Rattus norvegicus: one gene and its partner. The protein of the gene in region 2 interacts with the protein of the main gene of each other region in a pairwise test. Links are inferred from orthologs where the notes say so. Each region holds a gene or a part of one and is shown on either strand. Other genes may lie near its edges. The genes, in order: C19h16orf74 and Ppp3ca.

Region 1 (7,828 bases), on a different chromosome or scaffold from region 2:
TTACTTGGGGCTGGCTTACAGGTTCAGAGGGTCAGTCCATTATCATCAAGGCGGGAACATGGCAGCGTCCAGGCAGGCCTGGTGCAGGAGGAGCTGAGAGTTCTACATCTTCATCTGAAGGCTGCCAGTGGAAGACTGGCTTCCAGGCAGCTAGGGTGAGGGTCTTATAGCCCACACCCACAGTGACACACCTACTCCAAAAAGGCCACACCTACTAATAGTGCCACTCCCTGGGCCAAGCATCTTCAAATCATCACAGAAGGTAGGGGCAGGAAGATGAGGGGTTCAAGGGCAGCCTTAACTACACAGAGAGTTTGGGACTAGCTTGGACTATTGTAGGATACTACTGAGAATCAAAACCTTAAGGCTGATCCTTGAGTCTGAGAGAGCTGGAGCAGTTTCCTGAGGCTGCATCCAGCTATGGAGACTTCAGCCCAGGTCCACAGGGGCCTGGGCTCTTGTACCACTGTCTTCACAGCTGCTACTGAGGTCCCATATAGAGGAGTCACCACTGCCTTCTCTCAACTGCCGAATACTATTTTATGCACGTGTGTGTGTGTGTGTGTGTGTGTGTACACGCGTGGACTCTAAGAGCTCTCTTCACAACCCCGCTTCCTGCACAGCCCACGGTGGCCTCTCAGGCTTCTTGGCAGCTGGTTTCCCCTGAGGAAGGGTGCTGGCATCTACTGCACCCCCATGCAGGCCTTCTTCACCTCCCCACTTCTGCCCTTGCAGGAGGCTGCTGATATGTAGCCAGCCAGGCCCTCGTGCTGAGTGCCCAGGGGCAGCAGAACAGTAGTTTCGCCATGTTTCTGGGTTACCAGAGGAGCAGGCAGAGTACAGGATGGGGCTCTGTGGTAACCAAGACTAAAGAGAGGGGCAGAGGGAAGGAAGAGGCCTGGCCTGTGGGAAGCAGCAGTGACTGGACTCTCAGTCTTCACCCTTTCTGGGTTGAACAGACCCAGAACGTTTTCAGTCTTTTTCTAGTCTGCCCGTCTACCAGGACAGCCCCACCCCAGCCTCTAGGACCACCTGCTGATGCCTGTTTCTTGGTCTCCTTGGTCCTCAGTCTAGTGCCAGCAAGGGTGGATGCACCTGACACAGGAAGTACTTGGGTCATGAGGAACAGCACACAGGAAATTGCTCCCGAGGCTGCTAATCCCTAGAGGTGAAGACGGGTGGGAGGGTGGGTGGGGACACTGTTCCCCTGGCCATGCAGATATAAGGGGTCCCAGAACTCAAAGGGGACCTGACTTCATAGCCATCCACCCAGGACAACACAAAGGATGCCCTCTGTCCCCCTAAAGCTTCAGATGATTCCGAGATGACTTCGCCAGGTACCATCTGATCTTCAATGTCTCTGTAGCCGTTTCCCACAACAGGGAGAGGTGACCCTCCTCCTCTACAACCCAGAGTCCCTTCCAGAAGCTTCAATACCACCTTGCCATAAAAGCAGCTGTGTACCTCAGTGCAGCCCTCAGCCTGGCTGCTTTATGGGCTCTTGACACTAAATTTTCAGGTCTCCATTGTGGCCAACTGTCACAACTGTCAGCCTTGCCTGGCCCAGCTGAGTCAGACTCCGGACTGGACAAGGTTGAGGGAATTACCACATCCGTTTCGTGTCCTTTTTCTTTTTGAGCCTCTTTCTTGTAACCCAGGCTGACCCTCTTACCTCCATCTCCAGAGTGTTGGGATCTCAGTTTATCGTGTTCTGGTGACAGAAACCAGGGCCTCATGCATGTTAGGCAAGCAATCTAGAAATGAGCCTCACCCTCAGCCACACTGGCTCATCCTGAGCTCCCCAGGTGATTCCTGCATGCTGTGGCTCTGGGAGCAACTGGGAAATACTCAGGGGCTCTCATCTAAGGATGAGTGTAAGTCCGGAGGTAGCTTTGTGCTCCTAACATCAGGACACTGTGTAGTGGCTTCAGGGGAGTGAGGGACCTCCACTGGGGGAGAAGATGGAGAGAGAAGCCATGGCCCAGAGGCTCAGCCCCAAGATCTCAGAGGCTGTGAGGAGAGCCCACCTCAGTACATCGAGTGACAGGAGCATTGCTCATCTTCCCATGTGCTCTCCGCACCCCCCACCAGAATGACTGGTATTCCCTCCATAAAGATAGCTCAGGACTGACTGGAGATGTTCAGTCAAGAAGCTCTACCTTTTCTGTAGCCTGTGACTCCCCTGTGCCAAAGTTCCCATAAGTGAGAATAAATGTGTACCCTAGACGGGTGTCACAGGCACATGGGCACATCAAGGCCCCTTGCCCTGGTGGCATCAAATCAGTACTCATGGAAAAGAACAAACCCAAGTTGAAGCCAAGAAGACAGACTGATGTCTAGCAGCACCAGCACTTGGCTAGCCCGGGTCCTTCGCCATCCAGAAGAGGAATTCCAAGGACTCTGGCTATCTCCAGGGGCTCCCATACCTGCTTTGTCACCATGAGAGGAGAGAGCCCCACCCCTTTGCTCCAGAATGCAGAACCTGGACATGGGGCCATTGGCAGCTCAGGAAGTAGTCTGTTGGGATTCATGGGAGGTGATGAACCGTTAGCAGGCACCTCATCGCCCTTGGAAGGCACCACAGAAAACCCCTAAGAAAACCAGGGATCAAGGAGAGGAAAATGTTAATCAAATATGTGCACATGTGTACGTGGGGAAGGGACAGGGCTGGTGGAAGTGATGTAAGATGCTATGTTGTGAAGCTGGAAATCACAGCAAATGCCTTGCACCAGTTCCTAAGCACTTCTGCTCATCTTGGTTCATGCCTGGAGACAGGCATGGCAGGCAGATGCAAAGTGCTTGCCCCGGAATGCTCACTTCACACGAAGACCTGGGGGCTCCAGCTGGGGCAGGTCCCACCTTGTCTGGGGAAGGTGGGGCATGGGCTATCCTGCCCACCTGTCCACTTCCGTTGGAATTCTGAAAAATATTTGATCCATTTCCTATCACTGAGACCTTAACAAAGCCAGGGGCTGAAATGTCACTGCATCGTTTAGTGATGGCTCAAAGTAGGGCGTGAGTACACCCACCACAGAAATTCCACTTTCCTGCCCTGGACTCGGTCTCCCCTTATAAACTCAGAAATATACATAGCACAAGGGCATGGAGACCTGAGGCTTGTAGGGTGGGCACACCCTACAGGTTTGGGACAAAGACTTGAGCTAGACAGTTGAGGGGGCATTCAAGGGGGGTCCCATGAGAGAGCCATTAAGACACAGACCTGGAAGCCACACCTGGCTATTGGAAGGGTGTGTCGGTATAGCTCAGTGGGGAACACTTGCTAGACTAATGGGAGAGAGGGAGGGGGAAGCCATACCATTTCCCTGGCATCAAAAACATAAAGACCTCTAGGCATTGGCCCAAGCTTGTAATACCGGGAGATAGAAACCAGAGGATCAGGGGTTCAAGGGCAGTGGGCTACAAGAGACTCTATTCTCAAATGATACAAAAGAAACCATGATTTAGGGAGTCAAGAGGCAGCAGCCCAAGGCCTCTTAGTCTGCGTTCTCAAGTCCTCTGCCAGCTGTGCCAGGCGGAGGCACGTGGCCAGTCAAAATGCCAGAACCCAGCAGCGGGGAAGCCCAGCCCGTGGGTCACAATGCCACCTGAACCTCCCAACTGCAGCGACGAGCTGGGGGCGTTACCTCTGCGTCTCTGCACAGGAGGTGGAGCCAGGCGCCCCTTTCCCCTCCACAGATCCGGGGACAGCGGGCCGGGCCGATGCCCAAACTTTCCCGGGTGTGGGGAGTGCGGCTGGGGTGGGGGAGGCAGCCAGGGAGGCGCGGCGGCAGGGGTTGTGGCTGAGCCCTGGGCGGGCTGTGGGGCGGAGCGGTCCGGGCGGCACCGCCCTCCAGGTGCCGGGCGGGGGCCGAGGCAAGCGCCGCTGCAGGGAGAGCAGGCCGGGCCATGACCCCCGCGGCCCACGGCTGCAGGCGCGTCGCCTGGTGTCCCTCACGGCAGCCAGCGTCCGCGCCCAGCGCGCCCCAGGAAGCGGTGAGTGTGCGCGCGCCGTGCGCGCCACGGCAGACGCTCCGGGACCTGGGGTTTGGCGATCTGGGACATAGGGAGGGACCCAGGATGAGGGACCTTAGGATCGTGGAGACCTAGGAAGATAGGGATCCGGAGGTGGGGAATCCGAAACGGTGGAGACCGGGGTTGCAGAACCCGGGAGGGGAGGGAGAGTGGGGTGGGGTAAAGACGGGGGGGGGTAGCCTGTGTAGACCCCACGGTGGTAGGGACTCCAGAGTGATGGGAGACCCTTTGGCCCCTGGCGACCCACAACTTCCTGCAGACTTCGCTGATCTGCTCGGCCTCCTCTGGCCGCGTGTCTGACATCGGGCGGGGGCGTGTCCCGCGCGTGGCAGCCTCAGGCCCCTCTTTGCACCCGACTGGGTTGTCAGGTTGCCGAGCAGTCGGGCAAGGTGGGGGCAGGAGGCCTCGGGAGAAACCGCTTCCCTCCACCAAGTGTTTCGAATGTATTATTGATGAGCTGCCTCGCTTAGGGGCGCCCAGTACATCAAAGCAGCTTCGCGACCGCAAAGGGCGACCCGCTCGAAGCAGGCACTTCTCTTGGCAGGGCTGGCCCTGGCAGATCTGGGGAGGGCGCTTATTAAAAAGAGGACCCGCAGCTCCCCTTGGGGATTCTGAGGGCAGGAAGGACTTCTGGTCTTTGCCAAGAGAACAGTGCAGCGCAATGTAGGAGTCGTTCCCGAGAGAGTATAGAAATGTTAGAACACGCCCTGTTTTACAGATAAGGAAACTGAGTCCCAGATGGCTTCTCCCGAGTGGCAGACTCTGATGTCTCTCTAGCCTGAGACACTTCCCTGGTTGTGCTAGCAGAAGAGAGCACCTCTTGCCCATTCAGATCCCTTTCCTAGCCAGGGCACAATGTAGCCTTGGTTGCATCGTGGTCCCCCCTCCCCCAGGTTTCCCTCCCTCAGGTCCGGGTCCTCTGCACAGGAGAAAGGCTGTGTATTTATGGAAAGACTTAATCCCTCCACCAACCCCAAGGCCGTGGAAAGCTGTGTCTAATCTGTCCCTGGAAGGCCTCAGCTGGTGGGCACACACCAGGCCAGAGTGTGCGTCCCCTAGGGAGGCGTAGGTCACTCGGGAGACTTAAAAAGCAACTCGTCCTCCTGGGCTGAGGACGCTGAGACATTAGTGCTTAGCCAGCAATTGGCTAGTGCCAGGCCTGCTCCTGAGCTGTCTTTACTCACACCAACCCTCTAACCAAAGCCTCCTCTTGTCCCCATTTTAAAGGCAGGAAACTGAGGCAGGAAGGTTGATAAGTCCAGGTGTTAGCACCGAGGCAGGAGGGAATGGCTTTCATCTCAGGTGCGGAGGTGGGGTGGGGAGCTGGGCCAGGTCTGTAGAATCATGGGAAGTAAGACCAACATAGAGACTGATATAGCCCACTCAACAGAAATCCTCTTTGAGTGTCAGTCTCCCAGCCGCCCCCTCTCCCTGCCAAGGTCCCCCTACTAGTAACCACCGAAGTATTATCCTTCCCCCTGTCCCTGTCATCAATCTTTAGGGGGAAAAATTAATTTATTTTTTATGTGTACCAGTGTTTTGCTGGCATATATGTCTGCCCCCTATACATGCCTGGTGCCCTTTGAGGGCCTTGGATCTGGAGCTGGAGTTACAAGCGGTTGTGAGCTACTATGGGGTGCTGGGAACAGAATCCAGGTCCTCTGCGAGAGAAATAAATACTCTTAACCACTGACCCCTCTTCTCCTCACACCATCCCACCTGGGTGTTCAGTCTGCACTGTTAGAGAAAACATCTGGATACTTTGTTGCACTGTTACCCGTTGTTAGCTGTGGGCTTTATTGTTTAGCAGATGTTTTTAATGCTATGGAAGCCGCAGAGTGGAGCATGGATATCCACTAAGTGGCCCAGAGCAGGCAGCAGGCTGGTTAGCCCCCAGTGGGGGTCTCAGTGATTGTTGGCCTCTCTAGCTTCCCTGAGACTCTCGGTTCAGCTTTCTGGCCTTGAAGGGAGGTACCCCAAGGCTAGCATCTATTCTCAGCACGGTGCTGGAGCTGGAATTGAAAGAATTCTAATCCTGCTGCACAAATCAAGTGACTTTCCTAAAGAAGGAAGAAAGTCAGATGCGCCTGTGCCGGGTGGAAACAGCTCCATGTGGGAGCTTGGGAAGCTGCTAAAAGACCAGGTTGCCCTGCCCTGCTTCCCCCAGCCTCTCAGGTCCACACACCTAGCAAACAGTCACATTCCTTCATTCTGACTGCTCCTGCCCAGCCTGATTCTTAAAGGACAGCTTTGTTAAGGAGGTGGGGCCGAGTACCACTGTGACTCAGGCTCTCTTGGCAGAAGGCACTGGGCAGAGACCATGGTGAGGGGCTCTCCCACCCCAACTCTCTGCTATTCAGTCTTCTATTCAGGATAGCTGATGCCACGCCCTCGGGGTTAAGGCTAAAGTAGCCAAGGTTCCAAAGAAGGAACCAAAAGAGGCCCATCTCAGGCCAACTGCAGGTTCATACTGAATCATAGGATATAGCTTTCCCACACGGGACCCAGGCATCCTCCCTACAGCCTGGAGCCTGACACTTCATCCCTCAGCTGCTCTAGGTTTGTGCGGCCCTGGAGCCCAGCCTCCCCCAGACACAGTGCAGAGCCTGCCTTCTATGAGCAGGTGCCCATCATGATGCTGTCTGATTTTCTGTGTGTTGCAAACCTGTGAGAGCCAGGTGGCGAAGTCACTTCTGATGCAATTAGTCTCCAAAGCCCAGAGAAGCCCTCACTATCCGCTTTCTGAGGCTCTTCTTGAGTTTTGACTGTGTCGTGTGCAGTACAGCGGGTGAGCCCTCCCTCTGCAGGAGCTCAGGAGGGAGTAGACCCAACCCTGCAAGAGGAAGTAAGGGTTTCTAACTGCCTGCTTGTCACTGGGGAGGATCTGGCGACCATTTGGTGATGAGGTTTTATGTCTCCAAGCCCATTGTTCTGAGGAGACTGTAAACAGAGCTCAGGTACTCTAAAGAGGAAGCTGTTCACACTGCAAAGGTGTCAAGTGAGAGACTTTATGCCCAGGCCCCCTCCCAGGATAGCCAGCAGCCTGTCACTTCCCTCTGCTCATGTGCTGCCCTGGTACTTAGCTGAACTGACAATTGAACTGAGGGAAGGATGACCCTGGACCCCCCTTTCAGGAGGAGGAGGAGGGAGTTCTTTTGAAACCAGATCTCAAGCTCCCTATGTAACTGGTGCTAGCCCTGAACTCCTTATCTTTGAGCCTCCACATTTTAAATCACTGGATTAAAAGTGTGCAGCCCTGTGCCTGGCTCGGTGTGCATTTCCTGTGAACCAGCTTGTCCTTCACAAAACAATGACACCGTGACCTGGATCAGAGGCATTACCGTGAGCTCCAGGCTGCCACCTAAGATGGGCTTTTTCCTTTTCCATTTTTGTCCTGTGTGTGCACATGCTTTTGTATGTGTGTGGGTATACATGCGGGGTGGGGGAGAATGCATATACATTGTGACTGCAAGGACATGTGGAGGCCTGAGGCTGATGTCAAGAGTCATCCATTGTTCTTCAGCCTCATTCATTGAGTCAGGATCTGTCAATCAAAGTCAGAGCTCATAGGTGTGCTTGCCAGCCAGCTCTGAGGATCCCCAGCCTCTGCTTTGAGACCAGCGGGGATCCGAACCCGGTTCCTCATCCTTGCCTTACAGGCACTTTAACTGCCGAGACATCTTCCCAGCCCCCGTGGGTGGGTTTGGTTTGGTTTGGTTTGGTTTTGACGAATACTTTGCGGACATATACTCTACCCTGACTGCCAGCCTCAGCCTCAAAGCAGTTCCCACTCAAA
Region 2 (7,828 bases):
CGTCCCCCTCCCTGAACCCTTTCACCTGTTCTGCCTCCATTTCTTTAGTTACAAAGAATCGTGACATCAAGCTACTGTAGGATGGCTTTGACTATTACCCGCTCTGACCATTCCAGAGTGACCCGCAAACACATAGCATGTCGTTTGTACTTCTCCATCCACAGTGGGAGAACTGCCCCTGCCAAGGAAACGCCAGTGTTCTTTTTCTACCCCACACCATAGCAGAAGGTTGCCTGGTAAGTTTAAGCACATAACCTACAATTACAGAAGAATTCGAGATCTGAGCACGACCCTCTTGACTATCAAGTGATTGCTGCCCCATTAAGTTGCTGAAAATTGAACTCAATTATCTTTTCATGATCATAAAAATTTGCTGCTGAGTCATTCGTTGCCTACCTTCATAATTCCTCAAGTTCCAGCCTTTTCTGACAAAGCCTTCAGGACGTCCATCTAGACTCACTAAAGGCTGTAACTAAACAATGCCGTTTCCCAAGGCCAACACTCCAAAGGGATTCTTTATTTGACCAAATCATTAGTTTCAACTTTACACAGTGGCACAGAAAAATCAGGGAAAACCTCCGATGACAGCTGTCAAACCCGACTGCGGAGCAGAAGTCACACTTTCAGGTCCTATAATTATCATTTTAAGCAGGTCAGGAAGAATAAACTGATTCAAAAATGACACATTTGTACCTAACACCGATATCAGCATAAATCACATTAACTACATTCTAAGGCAGATAGATTGTTGCCTTTTATGGGCCATCTAATAGTGTCTATTTAAAGCAAAGGTTCATTTCTGTGCTATAAAACAACAACATTGTATTTACTTCTCCTAGAAGTTAATAACATTTAGAGCCATTGGAATTTCCCTAAATCTCCCTTTCTTACAAACCTTTGAAAACGTTACATCTGTGTTACCTTTACTCTTTAAGAAATCCTGAAAGTAAATGTTACAGAATACATCAACCCAATTGATAGTTAGCATCACCGATGTGTATGCTATTCGCTCAACTATATTCATGTCAGGACTCTGTCATCTGTGGTAGCAGCTATCCTAGCAAATGCCTTTCTTAACAGTTAGTGCCAATGTAAACTCTACCCACCAAATACTGATGTTTAACGATAATGGACTTAAATCAATTATACTATATTCCAAAGGAAGGCCGGACAAATAAAATCAATCAACTGGTAGCAAATTAATCGAGTCATTAAAATGTACGTAAAATAAATTTGAAAAGAGCTCTACTTCATAGCCCCACCACTTTGTTTCCTTTTGCAAATACAACAGTCATTAGTGATTTGCCAAATTCTTGTTTTCTTTCTGAAACACCAGTGCCCCTCAGCTATAAACACTGATGGCTTACATCATCAGTTACTTAGTAACAGTCTGTCCACTCCTGCATTCTTGCTTCTGTGATCTTAGACATCTTCCCAGAATCTCTCTACCTGTACCTGATTACATGAAGAGCTCAAAGGTGACAGGGTGTGCAACAGCAGCTATCGTCCCCAAACCGAACGCAAACATCTACAGAGGAGAACCAAGCACAGTCTACGGGACTCTTCCCAGGAATCTACCCTCTGACAGCCTGCCAGACTCTGAAAAGTCAATTATTATAATCAGTTTGGGATAAGGTAAAAGGCCCATTATAAAATATTTGAAGATGAGAAAAGAATTATCCAGAGCCAGAGCACTGCCACAAACACATCAGTCTAATCTCCTCCAAATACTTCTATCAAAGGGCAAACTTTACAGCCAATGGAACCTTACAGAGAGGACAGAGAAAAACAACCAAAAACAAAAGTGTCAATAGATTTCTTGAGCATACTACAAAGGAAAGAAGGCAATAGGATATGTTGGGGGTGCGGAAGAGAGCTAGTCACCCTATTAACTTCAGTCTTGTACTGATTCCAGTATTCTCCGTGTAGCTTTCAAACATGATGTGAGTCAGACATGGTGCAGCACTCCTGAAATCACCTCTGAAGACTGAGGCAGGAGGATCTTGAGTTTGGAGTAAGCCCTCAACATATATACAGTCTTTCTCAAAACAAACAAATAAAGTTTGCATGCTCCAATGTATAAACAAACAAGCAAATGGATCAAATTATCCTGGTTCCCAACAAACAGAATGCCAAAACAGTTTCTCTGAATTCTAACAACTTTTACATTTGTTTTTAAATTTAAGAACAGTCAAATAAACCAACAGATGATTCGTTAGTTGAGGTCATTGTTCTGTGGAAATAATCTAACTGAAGGATTTCTTCTTGAAGTTTAAAGACTCTGTACATGATGTAGCTGACTCAACAAGCGTCTACACTGCCATGGTGTTGAAGCTAAAACTCCACCTACCTTTCTAAGGTTGCCTTCTGGAAACACAAATCAAGAGAGCTGCAGAAAGCTGCTGTCCTATTACTATAAACAAAACCACAAGCACAGAGTCACTTGTAAATAGCAATTTGTCATCCGGCAAAAGCCAGATCATAGCAACAAAGATAACTGTAGGAAAAGGCCCTGCATGCCAAAGGACTGGTCTGACTATTCCTATAGGTATCAAGTACAGCTACTGATACATTTTATAAGAGGAGACAGGACCTCAAGAGCTCATCAAAGATAAGCCGCTTCCTGTGTTAAGGAATGACTTCGAGAAAGACAATTGACATGAAGGTTTCAGAAGCTATGAACTAAAATAATGTTTTGTGTACTGCATACTACTATGTCCACTTTAAAATGAAAAATAATTCTGTGATTTTTTCCCACTCAGCATACGTCTTCCTTTCCACTTGTTAAATGTGGATATAATATTCAAGGGGATCAAAATAGATTATCGTCTCAAAATTCTAATCCTGAAAGTCTTATGCATGACAAAATGTTGTCTGGAAGCCTGTGTCAGGACTTTTAAACCAATGACAGAAAATGAGCAAGAAAGCATGAGAGAAACAAAGCAATGGCAGGGTGCCCATCTGAAAGTCGGGAGTCATCAATATTTTTTTTCTATAAACAAAATCTTCCAGTAGAATCCCTATCAAAACAAGTGGAAGATTACAGTAATGTTTCCTATTTTGAATCTGCAGCCCACAGGTATATATCACTTCTGAAAAAAATACATGAATCAAAATTTTGGAGTTATGGATGTGCCTACATACTAGTGGAGGAAGTCATTTATAAAACCCGACACTGAAGCATGAGGCAAAAGAGCTATGGAATGGTTGGACGCTGGCTCTGCCTCTTAACTGGTAAACATATCAAGCAATTAGCTTTACACAGTTTACTTGCTGACAATGACAATGAAAATCTACATTTTAGAGATACACACTTTAGAAATCCCCGTTTGACATCTAAAAGAGAAAATGTGACAGGACTTTTTTTTACTACCAGCACATAGTGTCGTCTGAATTGTAAACTATTACTTTGTTTAGAAAACAAAGTATCTTTGCCTTGGAACTATGCCTAAATATCACACACTAAGGAGATCCTGATCACCGCACAAGACCGTTGTGCACTTCAGGATCTGGCACCAATTTTTTTTTTTTTTTTACAGAGCTATCCCTATTCCCTCTCTATTTTGACGGCTCCATGAATCCTACTTTGAAGTAGGAATGATTCCAATATAACCAAAAGGAGTGAAGATATTTTATTCTCTCACAAAAGAGAACATAACACACACCCACACAAAGCACAACACAACACAACACAACACAACTCAAAACTTTAAATGTGGAGCAAATGTAAAAGTATCCCCTGGCGCAAGTATCCTTTCTTAAAGCTCCTGAGAATATGTATCATGGTCTTAGGGCGGGCGCCGGGTTACTTTCACGTAAGTGTTCCTGGAGCAAATGACTTGATTGCTTTGCACTCTAGCTAAAGGCTCTGCTGCATAAGATACCGTCTCCGATCTCATCACACACACACACACACACACACACACACACACACACACACACACACACACACCGCCCCCATCACTCCTTCCAGTTTCAGAGGCCCGCTCTGCACAGGCTGGTGCCCATCTTAGCTTTGCTGGGAACATTGACCCCAAGAATAAGTGTCACTACTTAATCCTTTCGAATCTGCACCTCCTCCCCCATTCAGCGCTGGAATACAGTGAGACTGGTGGGATCCCTCCAAAGGATAGAAAGGGCAACCACGTTGTCCCCTTCCTAACCCCAAGCATCCCCCGGGGTTTTCACCTAGCTAGCAACCCAGAGCCATCTCCGCCAGTTGTACACATACAAGTCATCCCTGGCAATAAAGACAACCAAATAGCCTGTTACCAAGGGGGTGTTAGAAGCTTGGGGGAAGGGAGCATGGTGAGCTCCCCCCAACACACACACACACCCCAGAGGTGTGCACCAGCAGGGAACCCTTTAAGAGCAATGACAGGTCGGCGGCAGTCAGCCATGGGTGGCAAGGGAGGTCGACAGAGGATCACCACCGCTCGCGTCGCTCCGGGCCTGCGGGGAAATCCCGGGGCGGCGGCGGGGGCTCCGGTCGTCCCCCGCCTGGCGCTGCCCCCACGCGGCCCCGGTCCCCCCCCCCCGCGGCGCGCGGCAGCCGGAGCTGGGCTCCCCCCACGCTCTCCCGCTCTCTCGCGAGTCCTGTGCAGGCCCTTCCCGCGGAGGGGGAGGGGGCGCCCAGGGAACTGCTGCAATGGAGCGCCTGGAGCAATGTGCCGGGGCGAGCCAGTCCGCGGCAAGCCACGGCCACATAAAAATGCCCTATTAATTTTTTAAAAGCCATAAATCACCTCCCCTCCCTCTACAAAGAGCAAACCATAAACCCGATCCCATGCAAGCCTGCGAGCAGCCACCCACTTCCTATTTCTGTCACAGCAGCTACACCCTGCCAGCAGTCACCCCCACCCCGGGCGCCCCCTCCCGCCACCGCCACCCCCGCCACCGCCTCCCAGCCACTCAGCCATTTGCCAACTGCTGCCCCCCGGTCCACAAAAATAAATAAATAAAAATAAATACATACATAAATAAAAGCCCCCATTAGGGCCGGGTGGGCGGTGTGGGGGCAGGGCGCGGCGGAGGAGGGGATCGCCTCTTGCAGGAGATCCTAGAAGGTCCCCGGCGCTAGCTGGAGAGGGACAACCGGGGCGGGGGAGGGGCGGACGGTCGCCTGCGGCACTCGGTGCACCCCGGGCCGCCGCGGCGCTGCGCTTACCTTTCACCACCCTGTCGGTAGTCGACAACTTGGGATCAATCGCCTTGGGCTCGGACATCTCCAGTCACCGGGAGGGGGGGACAGCGACGCGCTGCTGGTCCCGTCCGACTGCACACCCCGACCGCACCGGCGGGCCAGACACTCAGCGCCGCCGCCGCCGCGCTGCAAACCGCTCGGCTGGAGCTCCGGGCTCTGGGCTGGCTCGAAAGTTACTGCCGGCTCCGCGCGTCCCTCCTCCGCCGCCGCCGCCTTCACTCCTCCTCCGCCGCCACCAGCCCCGCCGCCTCGCTCCGGGCTGCGCGTGTGTGCTGGTTATTTATTTATTTTCTGAGCACGCCTCCCGGTTCTTCTTTTATTCTTGGGGACGGGGCGGGGGATGGGGAGGAGAAGCGCACGCGAGCACCCACCCCGGCACCGACACCGGGCGCCGCGCAATGGAGCCCCCACGCGCGCACACGGTCGGGATTAAGACCGATCACATGGGGAGGGCCGGGGGCGAGGGAGGAGAGGCAGGGCCGCGGATGTCAGCGCCGCCAGCCGCGCCTCGGCTTCCCGGTGGTGGAGAGGCGGCTGCCGCTGCGGCCGCCGCAGCTTCCCCACGCCGATTGTCGCCGGGCGCCGCCGGGGCCGCGGCAGCCGTAGACGTCCCGCCGCCGCGCTCGTCCGCGATCCTCCTCTGCCTCGCGGCGCCGCTGCTTCTCCACGCACAGGAAAGAGCCGCTGAGCTCGGTGGACACAGTCCGGGGCACAACCTCGCCTTCGCCGCCGCGCCGGCCGCCGCCACCACCGCGCCCGCCTCCGCCTCCTCCCCTTCCTCCTCACCGCCCCCGCCTCCAGCGCCAGGGCCACCTCCTCCTCGGGGTCCGCCTCAGGGCCCGCCCCACGTTGCACATCGCAAGCTCATTGGCTGTGGCGCGCATCCCTCATCGCTAAGGCGGTGGTCTGTGTGACCGCCCCGCCCCCTGCTCTGTTTTCTTCGGGGTGCCAGTCAGTCCCGCGGGCCTGCAGCCTCCACCGCCCTGTGGCCGCTCAAGTGTCACTGGAGTGGGCAGAGAGGAGGGAGGCTGGGCTGGGAGTAGGGCCCCGGAGGAACTGGGCTGCAGCGTGTCACCACGCTTGCGGGTTCCCGAGGTCCCGCACACACTCCCGGGTGTGTCGCGGCCGCTGCTAGTGTGTGCATGGCCCGCAGTAGTGAGTTCGGAGACCCAGGAGGGAGAAAGAAGGAGCGCCCGACGCTCCGGGCAAGCGGCGCAGCTGCTGTAGCTGCCGCAGCTGTCCAGGGAGGATCGCCAAGGAAGGCGACGAGTAAACAGCTTACCTTGGGGAGACAGCTCTGCCTGGGCTAGGTGGATGCGGATTACTGCTGCTGGGGTGGTTAGGACGCGTGCACAACTTCAAGGGAAGAGGCGAAAGTGTGTTTGGGGCGCTGCGGGACGCGGTGACTGGCTATCCAAGGAGGATGGCAGCGGACTGGAGCCTATGTGACCCTGGCTATGTTCAGTGACCCTGGACGCCCTAGGGGATAAGAGGAGTCAGAAAGATTCAGGAGAGGTCGCCTTTTCCCTGTTGACTGGAGCTAGCAGTCATTGGTGTGGGTAGGTGACACTAAATGTCCTCCTGCTCCTTCCAGTCAGTCACTGTAGGGCCTTAGCCTGTTGCAGTTTCTCACCAGTCTCTCCTAAGAAAGAAAATAAGGGACAGAGTATGAAATGCTGATGGCCCAGGTAGATCCTTTCAAACAGTTCTGGCTTCAGGAAGAGACTTCTCTTCAGAATGTCTTCTGGGCACTGGCCTACCACAACTCCAAGGACCAGCAAGGAAATTATGAAGAAAGCTGAATAAACTTCTCACCCTTGTCCTTCCTGTTTTACTTGCAAATTCCTTCAATATCAGGGTTTTCCTATTTCCTGAATTGGACTGTGGGCTCAATAAAAGGCCTACTAAAGGGTATATAAAGCAAGCTGTTGGTGGCGCACTCCTTTAGTTCCAGCATGTGGGAGACAGAGGCAGGAGGATATCTGAAAGTTCCAGGCTAGTCTGTTCTACAGACTGAGTCCCAAGACAGCCAGGACTGTTCCACAAAGAAAGCTTGTGTTGGAGGGGAGGAAGTTTAGGAAGATAGAAGATGGAGCTGAAAGAACTGTTCTGGCCACAGGGGTCAGGTGAAACTCAAGTCTGAAAAACTAAAATTTAATAGCAGCCTGGTGGCCCCGGAGCACAATAACTAGGTAGCCTTAAGAAATTAGAACGGAGGATGCTACAAGGCAGGCCTGCTAGTCAGAGGAAGGGATGGAGTTGGTGGGCACATCCCGTCAGCAAAGGGAGGCTGCCCCTGGTGGCCAGATTTCTGCAGCTAAATTTGCAACCTCTAGGTCCCCTTGCTTTCAGTAAGATCTATATAGCCCAGTGGAATTTTCGGGGAACATAAAATGATCTCCAAGAGGACTCTATACTCTCCCCAGTTAGGGGTTGTTGCAAACAGCCTCCTGGGCTAGAGCACAGCTAGTTGCCAAGGCAGATTTGGGAAGCTGGTCCCTGGCCAGATGACTGGAAGCGAGGGAAGGATGCCAAGACCTGTGGGTGAGAAGGGCCTGCTGCAGGAAAGACCTGGAAACCTTATCTGGGGATACTCGATTTTAAGGCCAAGACTCCCTCCCCCAC

The links.
Region 1: the proteins of Ppp3ca (region 2) and C19h16orf74 interact in binary tests that used the Homo sapiens proteins (3 or more experiments, as listed by UniProt). The two-hybrid records come from large-scale screens. The link is inferred for Rattus norvegicus from reciprocal best matches to the Homo sapiens genes PPP3CA and C16orf74.

Annotation. Positions count from the first base shown.
Region 1 is NC_086037.1:65,591,037-65,598,864, reverse strand, and holds the start of C19h16orf74 (uncharacterized protein C16orf74 homolog), read left to right. Parts: upstream 1-3,870; 5' UTR 3,871-3,906; coding exon 3,907-3,993; intron 3,994-7,828.
Region 2 is NC_086020.1:227,837,210-227,845,037, reverse strand, and holds the start of Ppp3ca (protein phosphatase 3 catalytic subunit alpha), read right to left. Parts: upstream 5,432-7,828; 5' UTR 5,226-5,431; coding exon 5,168-5,225; coding exon of another isoform or gene 4,976-5,167; intron 1-4,975. UniProt on the Homo sapiens protein: Calcium-dependent, calmodulin-stimulated protein phosphatase which plays an essential role in the transduction of intracellular Ca(2+)-mediated signals. Many of the substrates contain a PxIxIT motif and/or a LxVP motif.